4 linked regions of the Macaca mulatta genome follow. The main gene of each other region encodes a partner of the protein of the gene in region 3 in a complex. Links are inferred from orthologs where the notes say so. Each region holds a gene or a part of one and is shown on either strand. Other genes may lie near its edges.

Region 1 (4,067 bases), on a different chromosome or scaffold from region 3:
GTGAGAAGATTAACAATTTCTGTGTTGAAGATAATGAAGTTTAAATACCTCTGGAGGCAGGGCAAGTTACCCAACAAGAAGTCAGACTATTTAAGTTTGAATTTGAAGAACAAGGTTGAGAATGGGAGCACATGAACACTATTACTCAGAAGAGAGAATTTTAAACCTGTGGACACAGTCTTACCCTCAATGCAATTTCACTCCATCTTGAGGCAACCATCAAGAGTTGACCAGTTCCATTTATTTTCATAGTCGTAAAAATTCCACAAAATTGTTAGTCTCTGTAAGTGATAACTTTAAAAAGTCAGAGCTTTTGTCTTGTTCTGAGTCATTTTTCCCCTTTCCTCTTTGTATGCCATTCTTTCTGTCAAACTATCTAGTTAAGGAAGCTATATGAGGTATAAGGAAGAATATTAAGAAAATTTTGTTATTCTTATTGTCTTAATTGTAAAGGCAAAGAAAAGAACATTCGACTATTCTACCTTTAGCAAAACCTAAGTTAAATAATGATTTACCTATGTGACTCTCCACTAATTTTCTCTTGCAAATCATCACCCCTTAATTAATGGACATCCCCAAGGCAGTCAACTCAAGCTGTAGCTTTAACCACAGAGGTTAAACAATTCAGTCCTGTTGTTGCTGTCAGAAATCCAAGTTACACTGTACCTTTGTCTAATCAATGGTGCCCTACTTTGGTGGGAGATGAAGGAAGGGACCTGTTGGCAAGGAAACAGCTGCTTCCTTCCTGAACAAGGGAAAACCAGTAAGGTGACAGATGGGCAGAGCAGAAAAGTAGCCAAAAATTGCTCTGGCTCCTGGTTGGCAATAATTTTTGGAACTGAGGCACAACTGAATATTTTAAAGTATATCAACAATTGAGAGAGAGTATTGTTTACCTGGGCGCGCCAAAGTTCAACAAGCCTTCCCACACATTTTCTACATTTGAAAAACTTTTACGTTTGCAGTAGTACAAAGAGCTTAGCCTTAGCCTATGTACAGTGGGCAAAGACTGCAAGGCACTGTCCCATTTCACTTTAGGATTGCACCCAAGCAAATGCACTTTCTGGTTAAAAAAAAAAAAAAAAAAAGGAAAATTTTTATTTTCTCTATAATATAGTTGTATGACTGACTAGAATTACTATTAAAATCTCATTAAAAATGTTTTCCTTAAAAGTTTACTTTTATATACTTAATTTGAAAGGATTTGTTGCAAACTTTTATAATTTGTTCTCTAATCATTCCCCCTCCCACCCACTTCGGTACCCAGAAAACTAAATATCCAAGAATTCCTGGGTAAAACAGACAACCACTAGATTGATATAACTAACGTATTTTTTTTTTAAGCTGTATAGTTCTTCATCAAATGGAAATCGGCAAACCACTGAAAATAACATTAAAAATTAGTGTGGGCATGAAGTATGGAATTTTAAACATCAGTTTACTATGCTGATTAAGTCAACATTTATATTTTCATCAGAACTTAATAATCCCATAAATAAATAGAGCTCTCAATTATTTAAAAAAATCAAGGGATAACATATGTATTTAGACATAGTAGCAGCGTAAAGATGTATGCTTCAACACACTTATTGGGGAAACGTCTGAAAATATTACTACACTGAATTCAAAGGTATCCGCAGGAACCTGACATAGAAGTTCTCTAGAATAACATCATTTCAGGAAATTTCAAAAAAGAAAAGGGGTCGAATAGGAAATAGCCTCAAATTAATTGACAAAGTTCAGTGTTTGCCCCAACTTGATTATTCTCTCTCTCCACTGCAAAAAGAAAGTCTCAGGATGAGTGAATCACTTAGACGAAAGTTCATCTAGTGGAATAAATGGAGAAGCCGCTTGGGCAGGTGACACAGGAGAGTCGGTGGTAGTGCTGACTTTCGCTGGTGAGTTACAAGAAGATCCGGCACTGCTGCTGTTTCCATCAAGGGTATCCGAAGATACACACACACCAGGATCTGACAGCTGTGCAACGTCAGAAGAAAGCATGTTGGTGATGCCCTGGAAAAATCTCTTTGGCTGATAATCAGTTTCCATTTCACATTTTCTTTTCAATGGTCCAAGAACACTTGGTCTAATGCAATTGATGGGGCTCTGGCTTCTCCGTGTGGTAAATCGGGTCGTTGGGCTGGGAATAGGGCTTGGAGGCAATCCGTTGCTACTTACAAAACTTTGCAAGGATGGCGAAAAACACTGCTTCCCAATTCCCCGAGTGGGTGACGGTGCCGGTGACACAGGAATGAAATCGATGCGCTTGGGGGAGGCGGATTTCTCCACGTCGTTGTCACTCAGGCTGAAACTTTCCTCCCAGGAGTGGCTTATCTGCATTGCGGTCTGCACCTCCCGTTCGTGGACCGTCTCTCGGTTGATCAAGTCCATACCCTCTTCTTGTTTGATCTGGTGCAAGCGGCTGCTGTGCATGCGGACAGGGGAGGCCGGTAGCAGCAGGCCGTGGCGGCTCGGGAACGTTGTGCTGTTCCGCCTGGCGCTCGGCGCCTCGGCCTGGAACACCGGCGAAGTGTCACTGAGGCCGTGGATCAGGGGGGCGCTGTTAGACCTCCTGAGGCCCCCGCCGCCGCCGCTGCCGCCGCCCTCCGCCGGGCTCCCGCCCGTACCCGGAGGCAGCTCCAGGTCTAGCTCCATCTTCTCCTGAGCCATGTCGGGGGCAGGGAGGCGGGGGAGGTGCTCAGTCAGGGACCTAGGATTCCCATTCCCCGCAGTCCAGGGCCGCCGCCGCTGCCGCCGCCACCGAGAATCTGTCAGCGGGCTGGCCCCTCTGCGCATGCGTACCCCTTCGCGCAGGCGCTCGCGATGTCCGTCCTCGAGGCGCCTGCTTTATGCGTAATATCTGCGCGGCAGTGGTAGGGGAGGGGCGAGGAGTAGTCGGGCCGCTAGTCCGTATATTCCTTCAGCAAATAGCTATTGAGCGCAAACTGGCATTGACGAACGTCAATAAGATTGTCATATTCTGGAGTACATATTTATAAAACGAACAAAGCCCTGAAAGAGAGGCCCATGGTGATGTGGGGCTGTATGACGGGGAGTGGCGCTTGCGAATCAGGGAGGGCTTCCTCGAGGAAGGAACAGTGTCCTGAAATCCGAAGAAGTGGGCGAAATGGGTGCGATGTAAAACTTCGCAGGAAGCGGGAAGCAAGGGCGACCCAGCCAGGTGGCAGGCGGGAACCAGGAGGGGAGGAGAAAGTGTGGCCTGGAGTGGAGAGTGAGGGCTGGCGTGACGTGAGGTGGTGGACCAGACCACATTCTGGTCTTTATCTTGAGAACAATGAAAACTTAAAGGGTTTTCAAGCATGGGTATAATAGCAACTGAAAAGCTCACTGGCCTGCAGTCTGGAGAACAAATACTGGGAGATTAAAACCTTACAGAAAAAAGGCCAGAGAGGATGGTAATTTGCACTAAGGTGACAGTGTGGAAGTGGAGATGGAGAGAAAAGTAAATGAGAACTGTTTAGGTTAGGGGAAAAAGCCAAAACCGGGGATGGTACTGATACTGATTTACAGTCATAGTTCCAGCACAAGCATATGTGTGAAGTATGAAGGATTAAAGGAAAACCAGTAGGTCCTCACATTTTAAAAATAAAAACACTATTCTTGGCTCATGTAATTAATATGAAACCTTGATAGCTCATTAAAAGTGAGTTTATTTGTTCATTTATTCAGTCAAGGTTTTTTTTTTTTTTTTCCAGCATACTTACTATGTGCCAAACACTGCTAGGAAATGGGCCCTAGTCTGAGAACTTTTAATTCTTACTGAGGGGAAAATACAGAAATAAACGCAGGCTATTTTCAGATAGTGGTAAAGCCTTAGGAAAAACAAGATGGTGTGATGGAGCACTACTGATAGAAGGCAGCGGACAATTAGAGCTGAGATCTAAATGACAAGCAGCAGCAAGTCACGTGGACATCTGGGGAATGAGTATTCCAAGCAGAGAGAATAGCAAGTGCTAAGGCCCGAGGCAGCCATGAGTTTGTTGAGTAAGCGGAAAAAGAAAGAAGGGCAGTGCTGCTGAAGCATAAGAGCGGCGAGTGTTAGCAGA
Region 2 (4,024 bases), on a different chromosome or scaffold from region 3:
TTTAAAAAAGAGAGAGGTAACTGAGGCTCACAGAGGCTGTGACTTGCCAGGCAGAGCCAGATATGTGTGACTCCAAAATCCAAAGTTTTCATCATTACACTGAGTTAAGAGGAACTTTCTTGGTCGGGCGCGGTGGCTCACGGCTGTAATCCCAGCACTCTGAGTGGCCGAGGCAGCGGATCACTTGAGGCCAGGAGTCTGAGACCAGCTTGGCCAACTTGGCGAAATCTCATCTCTATTAAAAATTCAAAAAATTAGCCCGGCATGGTGGTGGACGCCTCGGCAACTCGGGAGGCTGAGGCACGAGAATCACATGAACTCAGGAGGCGGAGGTTGCAGTGAGCTGAGATTGCACCACTGCACCCCGGCCTAGGTGACAAAGCGAAACTCTGTGTCCAAAAAAAACAAAACAAAAAAGAAGAAGTTCTTTCCAGCTGTTCCCAAAAGTTGTTTCAAATTTCAAAAAAGGACCATGTTCAGGGACCTGGCTCTTTTCAGCCATGGATAACCTCCCTGAGCCTTCCTCTCTTTCAGGACACAGGTTCTCTCTCCTCCCACTCTCCACCCCCATTCATCCTAAGGGACACATTCATCTCACTGATAACAGTGGTTGCCTTATATCTCCTCTCTCCTGATATCATTACCAGAACTTTTTTTTTGGGAGATGGAGTCTTGCTCTGTCGCCCAGGCTGGGGTGCAGTGGCTGGAGTGCAGTGGTGCAATCTCGGCTCACTGCAACCTCCGCCTCCTGGGTTCAAGTGATTCTCCTGCCTCAGCCTCCCAAGTAGCTGGGATCACAGGCATATGCCACCACACCCGGCTAATTTTTGTGTTTTGAGTAGAGACAGGGTTTTGCCATGTTGGCCATGGCTGGTCTCAAACTCCTGACGTCAAGTGATCCGCCTGCCTCAGCCTCCCAAAGGGCTGGGATTACAGGTGTGAGCCACCCGGCCCAGAGTCATTACCAGAACTTCCAAGGCAAGCTTGTCCAACCCGCAGCCCAGGGCAGCTTTGAATGTAGCCGGACACAAATTTGTAAACTTTCTTAAAACATAGACCAGGTGTGGTGGTTCACACCTGTAACACCAGCACTTTGGAAGGCCAAGGCAGGCGGATCACGAGGTCAAGAGATCGAGACCGGCTAGGCGCGGTGGCTCATGCCTGTAATCCCAGCACTTTGGAAGGCCAAGGCAGGTGGATCACGAGGTCAGGAGTTCGAGACCAGCCTGGCCAATATGGTGAAATCCCGTCTCTAATAAAAATACAAAAATTAGCTGGGCATGGTGGCACGCTTGTAGTCCCAGCTACTCAGGAGGCTGAGGCAGGAGAATCGCTTGAACCCGGGAGGCGTTCACACCACTGCACTCCAGCTTGGAGGACAGAGTGAGACGCTGCCTCAAAAAAAAAAAAAGAAAAAAACCACAAAACCAGTATGAGACTTTTTTCTTTTTGTGACTTTTTTTTAGCTCATCAGCTCTTGTTAGTTACTGTTAGTGTATTTTATGTGTGGCCCAAGACAATTCTTCTTCCAATGTGGCTTAGATAAGACAAAAGACTGGACACCCCTGTTCTAAGGGCACACACACAGAGGTTTTGTACAAAATGTCTGGTTTCGAATGTCCTAAGAAACAGAACCCAGCTCTTTGTTCATCTCTTTTGTGGGGCATGGAGAGGATGCCTTTTTTGATTTTCAACATTTCTCCCTCCTGAGATCTTCCCAGGGACCACAAAATTGGAGACAGGATAGCAGGAATATCAAATGATTTCAAAACATTAGCTGTGTTTGGTGGGCCAACCTACTTGCCTCTCTGTCGGGAATGTAAAAGTTATCTATGGCCAGTCCAGCCTCCTCCTTCTCCATGAAAGGGGTCTCTAAGAAGATCCTTCCGTAGCACCTCCATCCCAGTTATTTGAGATGAACTAAAAAGAGGCTACAGTGTAAATAAGAGTTACCGAAGGAGATGCCAGAGAGAGACTAACCTCCTTGCACAACCAGCCTTTTAAAATTAGGGGTTTAGACACCACGGGCAGTTTCCCTCAATAAATTCTCAGTCACGGAAACCAGAGAGGAGGAGGATGAGGGGTGAGCAGGGCGCGGAAGCTGAAACTGGGGGCGAGGCAGGCGCGGCCCACTGAGCACCACCCCATCCCCTGAGCAGCGACTAATAAACACGGCAGCCTCCGGAATCACTTTCGCCCCCTTCCCTGGCAACTTCCCCACCAGGTTCACGGCTGACTTAGGCACGCGCTGCCCAAAGAGGCAAAAGGCCCCCCTTATGACCACGGTGCTGCCCACCCGGCATTCGGGCAGCCCAGACTCCCACAAAACCCAGAGCTGCGCCCCAATCACCACCCCTTTGCAGCCCCTGCTTCCCTCCCAGCGGTGCCCCATCACCCACCTCTCCCCTAAGGCCATTCAACTCAGTTTCTCCTCGGGGCCCCTCAGCTTTTGCCCCTCCAGCTCCTCCGTGTCCTGACTCTCGCCCTCCTGAGCCTCCCACACCTGGCGCCGCCCTCACCCTACCCGACCCCGGCCCGGCCTGGCCCCGCCGGCCTTACCTGGTGGCGGCTGCCGCTCGCCCTCAGCCATCTTGCTCCGGCCAGGAGCCGGCCCGGATGCCTGCAGTCCCCTCTCGCCTTTCACGCTTGCACCCACCCTTCCTCTCCCCGGCTCCACCAAAGGCTCCGGGTTTCCTGAAGACAAGTGAGCGCCGGCCGGCTATAACCGAAAACCGAGAGTTAAAGTCACCCCAGGGACGACGGCCGCCATATCGGTGCGGGGCGCTCAGGGAGCATGCCCATTAACGGCCGGCGCGCGGCGGACGCGCGGACTCGGGCGACGGCCATGTCAGTGCGGGGCGCGCGGGGCGCATGCGCGCCAACGGCCCCCAAGCGCCAGGTCCGCTAACGGCTGCCGGAACGACGGGCGCCGCGGCTGCCATGATTGTGCGGGGCGTCAAGTTTGGGTTGTGCACAGCCATGTTTTTCCGGGGCAGTCTCCTGTCCCCGAGTACCACCTGTCATCTTTGTGGGTGGTAGTGACCCTAATCCAAGGAATATGAGAGGACATTCTCCGGACAACACGGTTGTGTTTTCCTACCACTCTAAGAGTTACGCTCAAGAACACCAGACGGAGTTGGAGAGGTGCACACCGCTACCTCCAACAGCTTAGAAGACACGCGGGGGCGGGGGAGAGACAGCTGGACGGTGGCCTCCTCCTTCCTACTCCACAGATCTCAACGCCTTGCGGGGCCTCCCAACCAATGACTCGCCGTCGGCCCCGCCCCTCTGTCCCAGCACCCGCCGTGGCCCCGTCCCCAGCTCGCAGCCAGCCTACTGCGACCCGCTACCGGGAGACGCCCCGCCCCTCCTGACCCTCCCCAAGGAGACCCCGCCCCATCGAGGCCCCGCCCCATCGAGGCCCCGCCCCCGCCCCGCAGCCAGCCTCCCGGGCTCCGTTGCAGGCTCGGGGCCCGCTACCGGCCCAGGCCCCGCCTCGCGAATCCTCCTCCCCGGTGCCTGCCCGGCCCGGAGGGTGGGCGCGGGGCCGCCTCTACCGGCTGGCGGCCGTAACTCAGCGACCTTGGCCCGAAGGCTCTAGCAAGGACCCACCAACCCCAGCCGCTGCAGCGGCGGCGCGGACTTTGCCCGGTGTGTGGGGCGGAGCGGACTGCGTGTCCGCGGACGGGCAGCAAAGATGTTAGCCTTCGCTGCCAGGACCGTGGTGAGTGCGGCGGAGCCAGGGACTGAGGGCCCTGGACGGCGTGGGTGGCCGTGCGGTTGCGCCCGGGAGCGGAGACCTCGTCCTGCGGCCGCTATCCGACCCGGCCTCCAGCTGATGGGGTGGGGTGGGGTGGGGCCAGGCGGGCGTCCCAGGTTTGGCAGAGCAGGAGATTCGGGCGCAGCGTCAGAAGTGGGATTGAACCCACGTCCTGGAGCATTCAATTCCAACGACCCGGGAAAGACAGGGGGGACCCGGCTTCAGTTAGCACCCCCACCCTTAGACCCAGAGACAGGCCGGTGG
Region 3 (2,766 bases):
AATAAAATGTTCAAGTAGAAATACTTACAAAGAGTATTTTAGAGTATCGTCAAGTTCCATGATTGCAGCTTGGTTACCACAACGATAACAATAGTTTGGAGCACTGAAAATTGTTACTACATTTCGGTCATGGCACCAGTTATATCCCTACAAGGAAAAGGAGGCAAAAATCTTACTTTACTCCCTCAATTCAACTAAATGCTACTTCACTCAAGAGAGAAAAAAATCTCTACTCATTCCCACCCCTGCCAAAGGGGCTTAAGAAATGTTAATACTTTTTTTCTGGTTGACTTAATAATTTGCTGTACTTCATACAACCTGTAAGATACATACGTATTTGTTTTCCCCCTAATTACAAAATTTGCTTTTAGTACTAAAAAGAAAAAAAAAAAGCCTTTAACAAACAGTGGCGACCACCGAAGAATGAACTGCTTCTCATGTATCTGCCTTGCTGTAAATGATGGTGTCTCATTAGCCTCTTCTATTGCAGTGGTCTTAAAACATGATTTAAGAATGAGTATTTAAGTGGCCATTCCCTAGAGAAGTAGATACCTAATCCTGGAGATCAGAACCTTACCAATTTCGTCAGTTACAGGTAAAGGCCTGTAAGTCATTCACTGCCCAGGAACAAATGTGATATGCCTCTAGGATCTCCAGCCTTGTTTCCTCAAAATCCATCCATCTGAATGCATGAGCTACTTTTGTTACTTTTTGTTTAGTATTGTTCACAAATTTATTTATCTTTAGCAAAGTCAGATTTTATTGATAACCACAGAGTTGTACTAGTATTAATCTAATTAGCACCTTATTTTAGAAACATGCTAATCAGTGTGCATGTCAAGAACCTTTGCCTCTTTCCCTTCTCTTCTTTCAAATTACCTGTAATCCTACCATCCAAAGGACCACTTAGAACATTTTGGTGTATTTCTTTCCAGTCTCTCCTACATACATACATGTTAAATATATGAAATGACATTGGGATCATAAAATATTATATACACACCCCAACTCCCTACATCTTACTTTCCCACTCTTAGATCCCAAGTACTTCCTAGTCATTCAGATTTCTCTGGAAACATGTTAATGGATTCATTGTAATCAACAACTTGAGCTTTTAATTCTAGTAGTGTGCATCTACTGAAAAGGCTCAGGCTATAATGGTAAACTCATCAGAAGGAATAGATGGAATTTCTCACAAATGTCATTAATTTAAAACTCCCTAATATCTTCTCTCCTTAAGTTTACTAAAAAACAAGTCATATTTCAAATAATAGAAGCATACCTCCATCACTAGCTGGTGAGCTCTTGACACCAACGTGAGGCCATTGGCATGATTAAATGTCTCTGAAATATCTTGCCCAAAGGTGTAACCAGCTCCTCGAGGAGATATTCCCCAACCACCACGGTCATCTGGATCTGACCACAGCAAGTCACACATTGGACCCTAAAAAATAACTTCGTTATAAAATGCCTTTTACAAACATGGTTAACACATTATTTGAGTAATTCATCAGAAGCAGCACCCTAAGTCACCCTCTTTGAGTGATGTTTGTGGACAACGCTAGTAGATTATGCAGTTGAAGTCAAACATCTGCATCAAGTAATATGTATTTTCCAGTAGACTTTATGAGACACAGCTGACATCCATGGGACCCAGCAGTAACATGCCTTAATTAATCTGCCTATATTATGCAAATTTCAGAGTCTAAGACAGACAACCTAGGTCCTAATAAGCCCAGCTCTACAGCTGCTGTGATCTTGGCAGGTTTCTTAATGTCAGCTTCTTCTGAACAATAGGGCAGACAAGAGTGTTCACACCTCAAGTTGTTTTTGAGAATTATAAGAGAGAATACATCTAATGATCTTATAATTAAACCTCTCCACTCTTTAATAAGTTTTCTGGAAAGATTTTATCAAATAAAAGTCATACCTCATGGGGAACTTCTTGTAGGCGATCAAGTGCTCTGATATGATCCAGTGTATCTATAGATGGCGAGAGACCACCATGTAGACAGAAGATCTGAAAAGAGTGGTTTAAAAGGTTAACCTCACCTAAAAAATTTGTAAACATTCTTGGCTGGGCACAGTGGCTCATGCCTGTAACCCCAGCACTTGGGGAAGCTGAGGCAGGAGGACTGTTTGAGGCCAGGAGTTTGAGACCAGCCTGAGCAACACAGCAACACCCTGTGTCTCTATAAAAATTTTTAAAAAATGAGCTGGACGCCCCCATCACTTGGCCCCTCTGGTGTTTCTGTGCTCTGCCTGAATGAGGCCTGACTTTGCAGGATTCAGCTTTGCTCCAGCCCACTCTAAACGATTGAGTACACTCCCATTCTTCCTAATAGAACATCACTGTCACACCCAGACTCCACCTCAAACAGCTCCTTTGAGAAAACTTTTTGGATATCACTCCTGCCCCCTGCCAGAGACTAGTATCTCCATGCTCATAAAATTTTATTATAAGTTCTTTTGTGTGCACAATAATTAGTTCCTTACATCTCCCAGACTTGTCCAAAAACAGTCTGAGAGAATAAATGGGCTACATCATCCACCCCTGTGATCCCATCATATAGTTCAGTGCCTGATATAAAGAATAATGCACTTTAAAAAGCTGGACACATTTGTCAAATTAATTTTTTAAAATTTGAATGAATGCTATCAATATCTACTAAAAAATATCCCTAAAGGGGTATAACAGTGGAAAGAGTCAGGAGCACCTGAACATTAAAGGAAGTTGATTCTCTGAAATAATCAGCAATGAGTTTT
Region 4 (4,261 bases), on a different chromosome or scaffold from region 3:
ACCCACACTCCCTCCCCAGTGCACCCACACTCCCTTCCCCAGTGCGCCTACTCCCTTCCCCAGTGCACCCACACTCCCTTCCCCAGTGCCCACACTCCCCCCCCAGTGCGCCCACTCCCTTCCCCAGTGCGCCCACTCCCTTCCCCAGTGCACCCACACTCCCTCCCCAGTGCGCCCACACTCCCTTCCCCAGTGTGCCTACTCCCTTCCCCAGTGCGCCCACACTCCCTCCCCAGTGCGCCCACTCCCTTCCCCAGTGCGCCCACACTCCCTTCCCCAGTGCCCACACTCCCTCCCCAGTACGTCTACTCCCTTCCCCAGTGCCCACACTCCCTTCCCCAGTGCGCCCACACTCCCTCCCCAGTGCCCACACTCCCTCCCCAGTGCACCCACACTCCCTCCCCAGTGCGCCCACACTCCCTTCCCCAGTGCGCCCACTCCCTTCCCAGTGCGCCCACTCCCTTCCCCAGTGCGCCCACACTCCCTTCCCCAGTGCGCCTACTCCCTTCCCCAGTGCCCACACTCCCTCCCCAGTACGTCTACTCCCTTCCCCAGTGCCCACACTCCCTTCCCCAGTGCGCCCACACTCCCTCCCCAGTGCGCCCACTCCCTTCCCCAGTGCACCCACACTCCCTCCCCAGTGCGCCCACACTCCCTCCCCAGTGCACCCACTCCCTTCCCCAGTGCACCCACTCCCTTCCCCAGTGCGCCCACTCCCTTCCCCAGTGCGCGCCCACTCCCTTCCCTGGGTCTGATCGCACCAAGAACCAACAGCACACAGTCACAGGGCACCTCAGAGCTCCAATTTCTCATCCCGTGACCCAAAGGAGCTATTTCTGCAGTTCTTAAAAATAAACTGGTGGCCGGGCACGGTGGCTCACGCCTGTAATCCCAGCACTTTGGGAGGCCACGGCAAGCAGATCACCTGAGGTCAGGAGTTTGAGACCAGCTTGACCAACATGGTGAAACTCCGTCTCTACTAAAAATACAAAATTAGCTGGGCGTGATGGCACACGCCTGTAATCCCAGCTACTCGTGAGGCCAAGACAGGAGAATGGCTTGTACCTGGGAGGCAGAGGTTGCAGTGAGCTGAGATTGCGCCATTGCACTCCAGCCTGGGCAACAAAAGTGAAACTCTGTCTCAAAAAAATAAAAAATAAAAATAAAATAAACTGGTGACAGATTTTTCTCCCAGCACCTTAGTCATGTAAGTTACCAGATACAGAAAGTCAAAAATCTGTTAGCTTAATTCAGCATCAGTCAGCAAGCCCCAGTCCCATCTGTGACCGCGCAGGTCCAGGCTGCCTGGCCCAAGAGCTGCACACGGTATTCCGGGTCTCTAGGCTGGTCCAGTTTCCTCCAAAGCAGCCCTGACTCCAGTTCCTGCCCCTATGCGGACAGACGCCCTTCCTGTTCCACTGCACACCCAGCTCTCAGGAATTCAGCACAGAGGAGTGAACAAGGAGGGCCACACATTTTAGCGGCGATTCCAACACCTTAGGCAGAGCCAAGGCATCAAGGAGAGCAAAACCGAACGCTAAGACGTAAAAAAACCCAGCAGCCAGAGTCAAAAAAATGGGGAGAGGTACACAGTGCAAGTCTCCAGGTCCCAGGCTGGCTGTCCCCACCCTCCTTCCCTGGCATGCCCTGTGGCAGCAGCAGCTGGTCCTCATTCCAGACTAAGGGCTCGCTGTAGTGGCTCCTTCCGAGGCTGTCCCACCAGACGCTTCAAAGTGGCTCCATAGTGGAACCGACTTCTTCAAAGAGGAATGACGAGCCTCCTGTTCGGGCAACCGCCCGTAGCAGGGGTTAAACGGTTCTGAACAGAGCAGCCTTTTCACCTTCCCCTGGGCCAAAGCACACACGCGTTCTCCGCTTTCCCTGCACACCGGCCGCTCAGATCGGCTTCTCCACGTTCCCAGCCCCTCAGCGCCCATCAGGGTCTCCTCTACGGCCCCCGCCCAGCCCAACACGGCCAGAACGGCCGGAACGACCCGTGGCCCGGGCTCAGGCCGCAGTGTGGCCCCTGACCTTCCACTGCCTTCAGATGCCGACACGAGGTTCCCGCCCCGCGCTGGGGGCAGCGTCCTGTCCCGGAGCCGGTGTCTCTTCACGCACCTCCGCCGCCCTCGCACAGGCGGAGCCACCCGGGGCTCGGTGTCAAGAGGTCTGCGAGCTCCTACCACGCAAAACGCCACAAGCACACGGCAGAGCCCGGGGGCCGCCCTGCGCCCACCTCAGGACGGCTCCGCTGGTCGCACGACGCGCGCTCCTTCCCTCACCCACCGCCCGCTCCGGCGAGGCGCCCCTCGGAGCCCCCGGGAAGCTCTGGCGCCCCTCGCTGAGAGGCCGCTAGTCTTCCTGAACTGCACCCTCCTCACCTGGTTGGCAAATCCCCGGAGGTGAGCCATGGCCGGGCCGCCTCAGACCCTCCGCCGACAGCCCCGAGAGGCGTCTGGATCCCGCGGAGAGGCGTGGAGCCGGCTCGCTCGCCCCTGCGGCGTCAGTCCACTGCGAGGGACAGCAGGAGCGGTCGGCGCCCAGTTCAGTCATCTGAGACCTAGCTCCGGGGCGGCGGGCTGGAGGGGGGCCCCAGGAGACCCCCAGGCCATCGGGGCCCCGCCACGCCCGGGCCTACAGCCCAGGCTCCCGGGGACTCGCCGCCCCTCCCGTCCCCGCCCCCACCTCTTCCGAGGCAGCTTCCTCCCGGTGCCCCCGCCCCGGAGTCCCCGCCACCGAGCCCCGCCCCGGGCCCCTCCCTCCGCCCCCTCCCCAATCGCCGCTAACGCGCGCCCGGCAGCGCGCCCACCTCCGCGGGGCTCCATCCCGGCCTCCCCCGGCCCGCTCTGCAGCGCCCGCGAAGGCTCCCACCCGCAGCCTCTGTTCGCCCGGGGACCCCGGGCCTCCCAGCCCGCGAAGCAACGGCGGTGGCGGCAGCGACAGGAGAAAGCCCGGAGGAGGCGACGGCGAGGGCGGTATTCGGCGTCGCGGCCCGCGCACGGCTCTCTGGGACCCCGAGTCCCACCGCCCATTCCGGGCCCGGAAGCCTGCTGGCGTTGGACTACAAGTCCCGGCAGGCCGCGAGAGAGGGGCGGGGCTCACATGCGCGCCGCGAGGCTCTCTGGGACCCCGAGTCCCACCGCCCATTCCGGGCCCGGAAGTCTGCTGGCGTTGCACTACAAGTCCCGGCAGGCCGCGAGAGAGGGGCGGGGCTCACATGCGCGCCGCGAGGCTCTCTGGGACCCCGAGTTCGGCTCCCGAAAGGCTTGGACTGCGTCTCCCAGCAGGGCGCGCGGCGGGGCAGGCGGGGCACGTGGTCGTTGTCGCGTCGCGTCTTCCGTGCCTCGCCCTCGCTGGCCTTCTGCGTCTGCTGGCGCCTGCAGGGCGTCGTCTCCGACGTGACGGCGGCCGCGCGGCGTTTCCCTTGGGCTCTGCCCTGCGCAGCCCTGGTCCGAGCTGGCCAGTAAGGCCCCGCGCCCTCCCCGCCTCGCCCCGAGGATCCACCGCGGCCGCCCAGGCTGTTGGCCTTGTCCTCACGGCTCGGAGATAAGCCGGCGCTGGTCACACCGCGAAACCCCTGTTCGCACCGAGACCCCGCTCGGGATCATGCGCACAGGCCAGGGCGCAGCAAGCCTTGGAGAAGCTACCTGCACAGCCCATTCCTTGCGCGAGCTTCGCATCTTCTGCCTCAGTTTCCTTACCTGTAAAGGGGTGATCATAGGACATCCTTGGTCACACCTTTGTGGGACCCACCTGGGCTAGAGCGCGGTACCCGCCCAGGACAGTGACTGCTGCTGGAAACCGTCGTGGCACTGGGGTCACCTCCCCAAGGTCAGGGAGGGACTTGCAGAGCCCAAGGCTACCTGGTGCACCCCCCTGCCCCGTGGGCCGCCAGGTCATAGTGCCCCCTGTGTGCATTCCCCTGGTGCACCGCAGGGATCCCCACCTGTCCGGTGAGGAAGATTTGTCTGTCCTCCACTCTGTGTCCACCCTTACAGGCCCTCAGTTTCCATGATGGCTCAGCACAGATGACTATCCTGACCACCTCACACCCCTCCTTCCTCAAGAGGGTTCTGGCGTTTCTCTTTGCTCCCTGGTGCGTGTTTTCTCATGGTGCGTTGCCAAGTCCTTTAAGAAGCCATGTTTCCCTGTCATGCATCCAGGACAGCCCCTTGAACCCCTGGGTCCCCATCTCATCACCCCTGCTTGTTGACATACTGACTTGGTTTTGTTTGTGCTTTGACTCCCCAGGAGGAAGTGG

What was found.
Region 1: the proteins of PPP2CA (region 3) and PABIR1 are in contact, whole or in part, in a cryo-EM structure (PDB 8SO0), measured with the Homo sapiens proteins. The link is inferred for Macaca mulatta from reciprocal best matches to the Homo sapiens genes PPP2CA and PABIR1. Residues at the interface, in NP_002706.1 of Homo sapiens: Arg89, Gln122, Val126, Tyr127, His191, Trp200, Pro213, Arg214, Gly215, Ala216, Leu243, Met245, Tyr265, Cys266, Arg268, Cys269; in NP_612206.5 of Homo sapiens: Asp95, Leu96, Ile97, Arg99, Glu100, Thr101, His103, Glu104, Arg105, Val107, Gln108, Met111.
Region 2: the proteins of PPP2CA (region 3) and PTPA are in contact, whole or in part, in a crystal structure (PDB 4LAC), measured with the Homo sapiens proteins. The link is inferred for Macaca mulatta from reciprocal best matches to the Homo sapiens genes PPP2CA and PTPA. Residues at the interface, in NP_002706.1 of Homo sapiens: Arg89, Gly90, Tyr91, Gln122, Gln125, Val126, Tyr127, Gly128, Asp131, Glu132, Arg135, His191, Asp205, Arg206, Pro213, Arg214, Gly215, Gln242, Leu243, Val244, Met245, Asn249, Asn264, Cys266, Tyr267, Arg268, Cys269; in NP_821068.1 of Homo sapiens: His31, Thr32, Val33, Ser133, Arg134, Phe135, Lys138, Arg141, Asn180, Thr182, Arg183, Arg235, Glu237, Pro238, Gly240, Ser241, Gln242, Gly243, Val244, Trp245, Asp248, Asp249, Phe250, Phe294, Ile295, Met298, Lys299, Thr300, Ala304, Glu305.
Region 4: PPP2CA (region 3) and STK25 share a complex: the UniProt entries of both Homo sapiens proteins name them as parts of the core of STRIPAK complex. The link is inferred for Macaca mulatta from reciprocal best matches to the Homo sapiens genes PPP2CA and STK25.

What each region holds. Positions count from the first base shown.
Region 1 is NC_133420.1:99,819,374-99,823,440, reverse strand, and holds the start of PABIR1 (PPP2R1A-PPP2R2A-interacting phosphatase regulator 1), read right to left. Parts: upstream 2,801-4,067; 5' UTR 2,797-2,800; coding exon 1,807-2,796; 3' UTR 1-1,806. UniProt on the Homo sapiens protein: Acts as an inhibitor of serine/threonine-protein phosphatase 2A (PP2A) activity. Inhibits PP2A activity by blocking the substrate binding site on PPP2R2A and the active site of PPP2CA.
Region 2 is NC_133420.1:18,531,779-18,535,802, forward strand, and holds the start of PTPA (serine/threonine-protein phosphatase 2A activator), read right to left. Parts: upstream 2,801-4,024; 5' UTR 2,591-2,800; coding exon 2,560-2,590; intron 2,504-2,559; exon of another isoform or gene 2,400-2,503; intron 1-2,399. UniProt on the Homo sapiens protein: PPIases accelerate the folding of proteins. It catalyzes the cis-trans isomerization of proline imidic peptide bonds in oligopeptides. Acts as a regulatory subunit for serine/threonine-protein phosphatase 2A (PP2A).
Region 3 is NC_133411.1:143,102,164-143,104,929, forward strand, and holds part of PPP2CA (serine/threonine-protein phosphatase 2A catalytic subunit alpha isoform), read right to left. Parts: intron 2,021-2,766; coding exon 1,931-2,020; intron 1,445-1,930; coding exon 1,283-1,444; intron 148-1,282; coding exon 29-147; intron 1-28. UniProt on the Homo sapiens protein: Catalytic subunit of protein phosphatase 2A (PP2A), a serine/threonine phosphatase involved in the regulation of a wide variety of enzymes, signal transduction pathways, and cellular events.
Region 4 is NC_133417.1:146,800,741-146,805,001, forward strand, and holds the start of STK25 (serine/threonine-protein kinase 25), read right to left. Parts: upstream 2,801-4,261; intron 2,745-2,800; coding exon of another isoform or gene 2,412-2,744; coding exon 2,382-2,411; exon of another isoform or gene 2,032-2,381; intron 1-2,031. Other genes in the region: uncharacterized protein LOC106992798, read left to right, coding at 2,410-2,744, 2,801-3,467. UniProt on the Homo sapiens protein: Oxidant stress-activated serine/threonine kinase that may play a role in the response to environmental stress.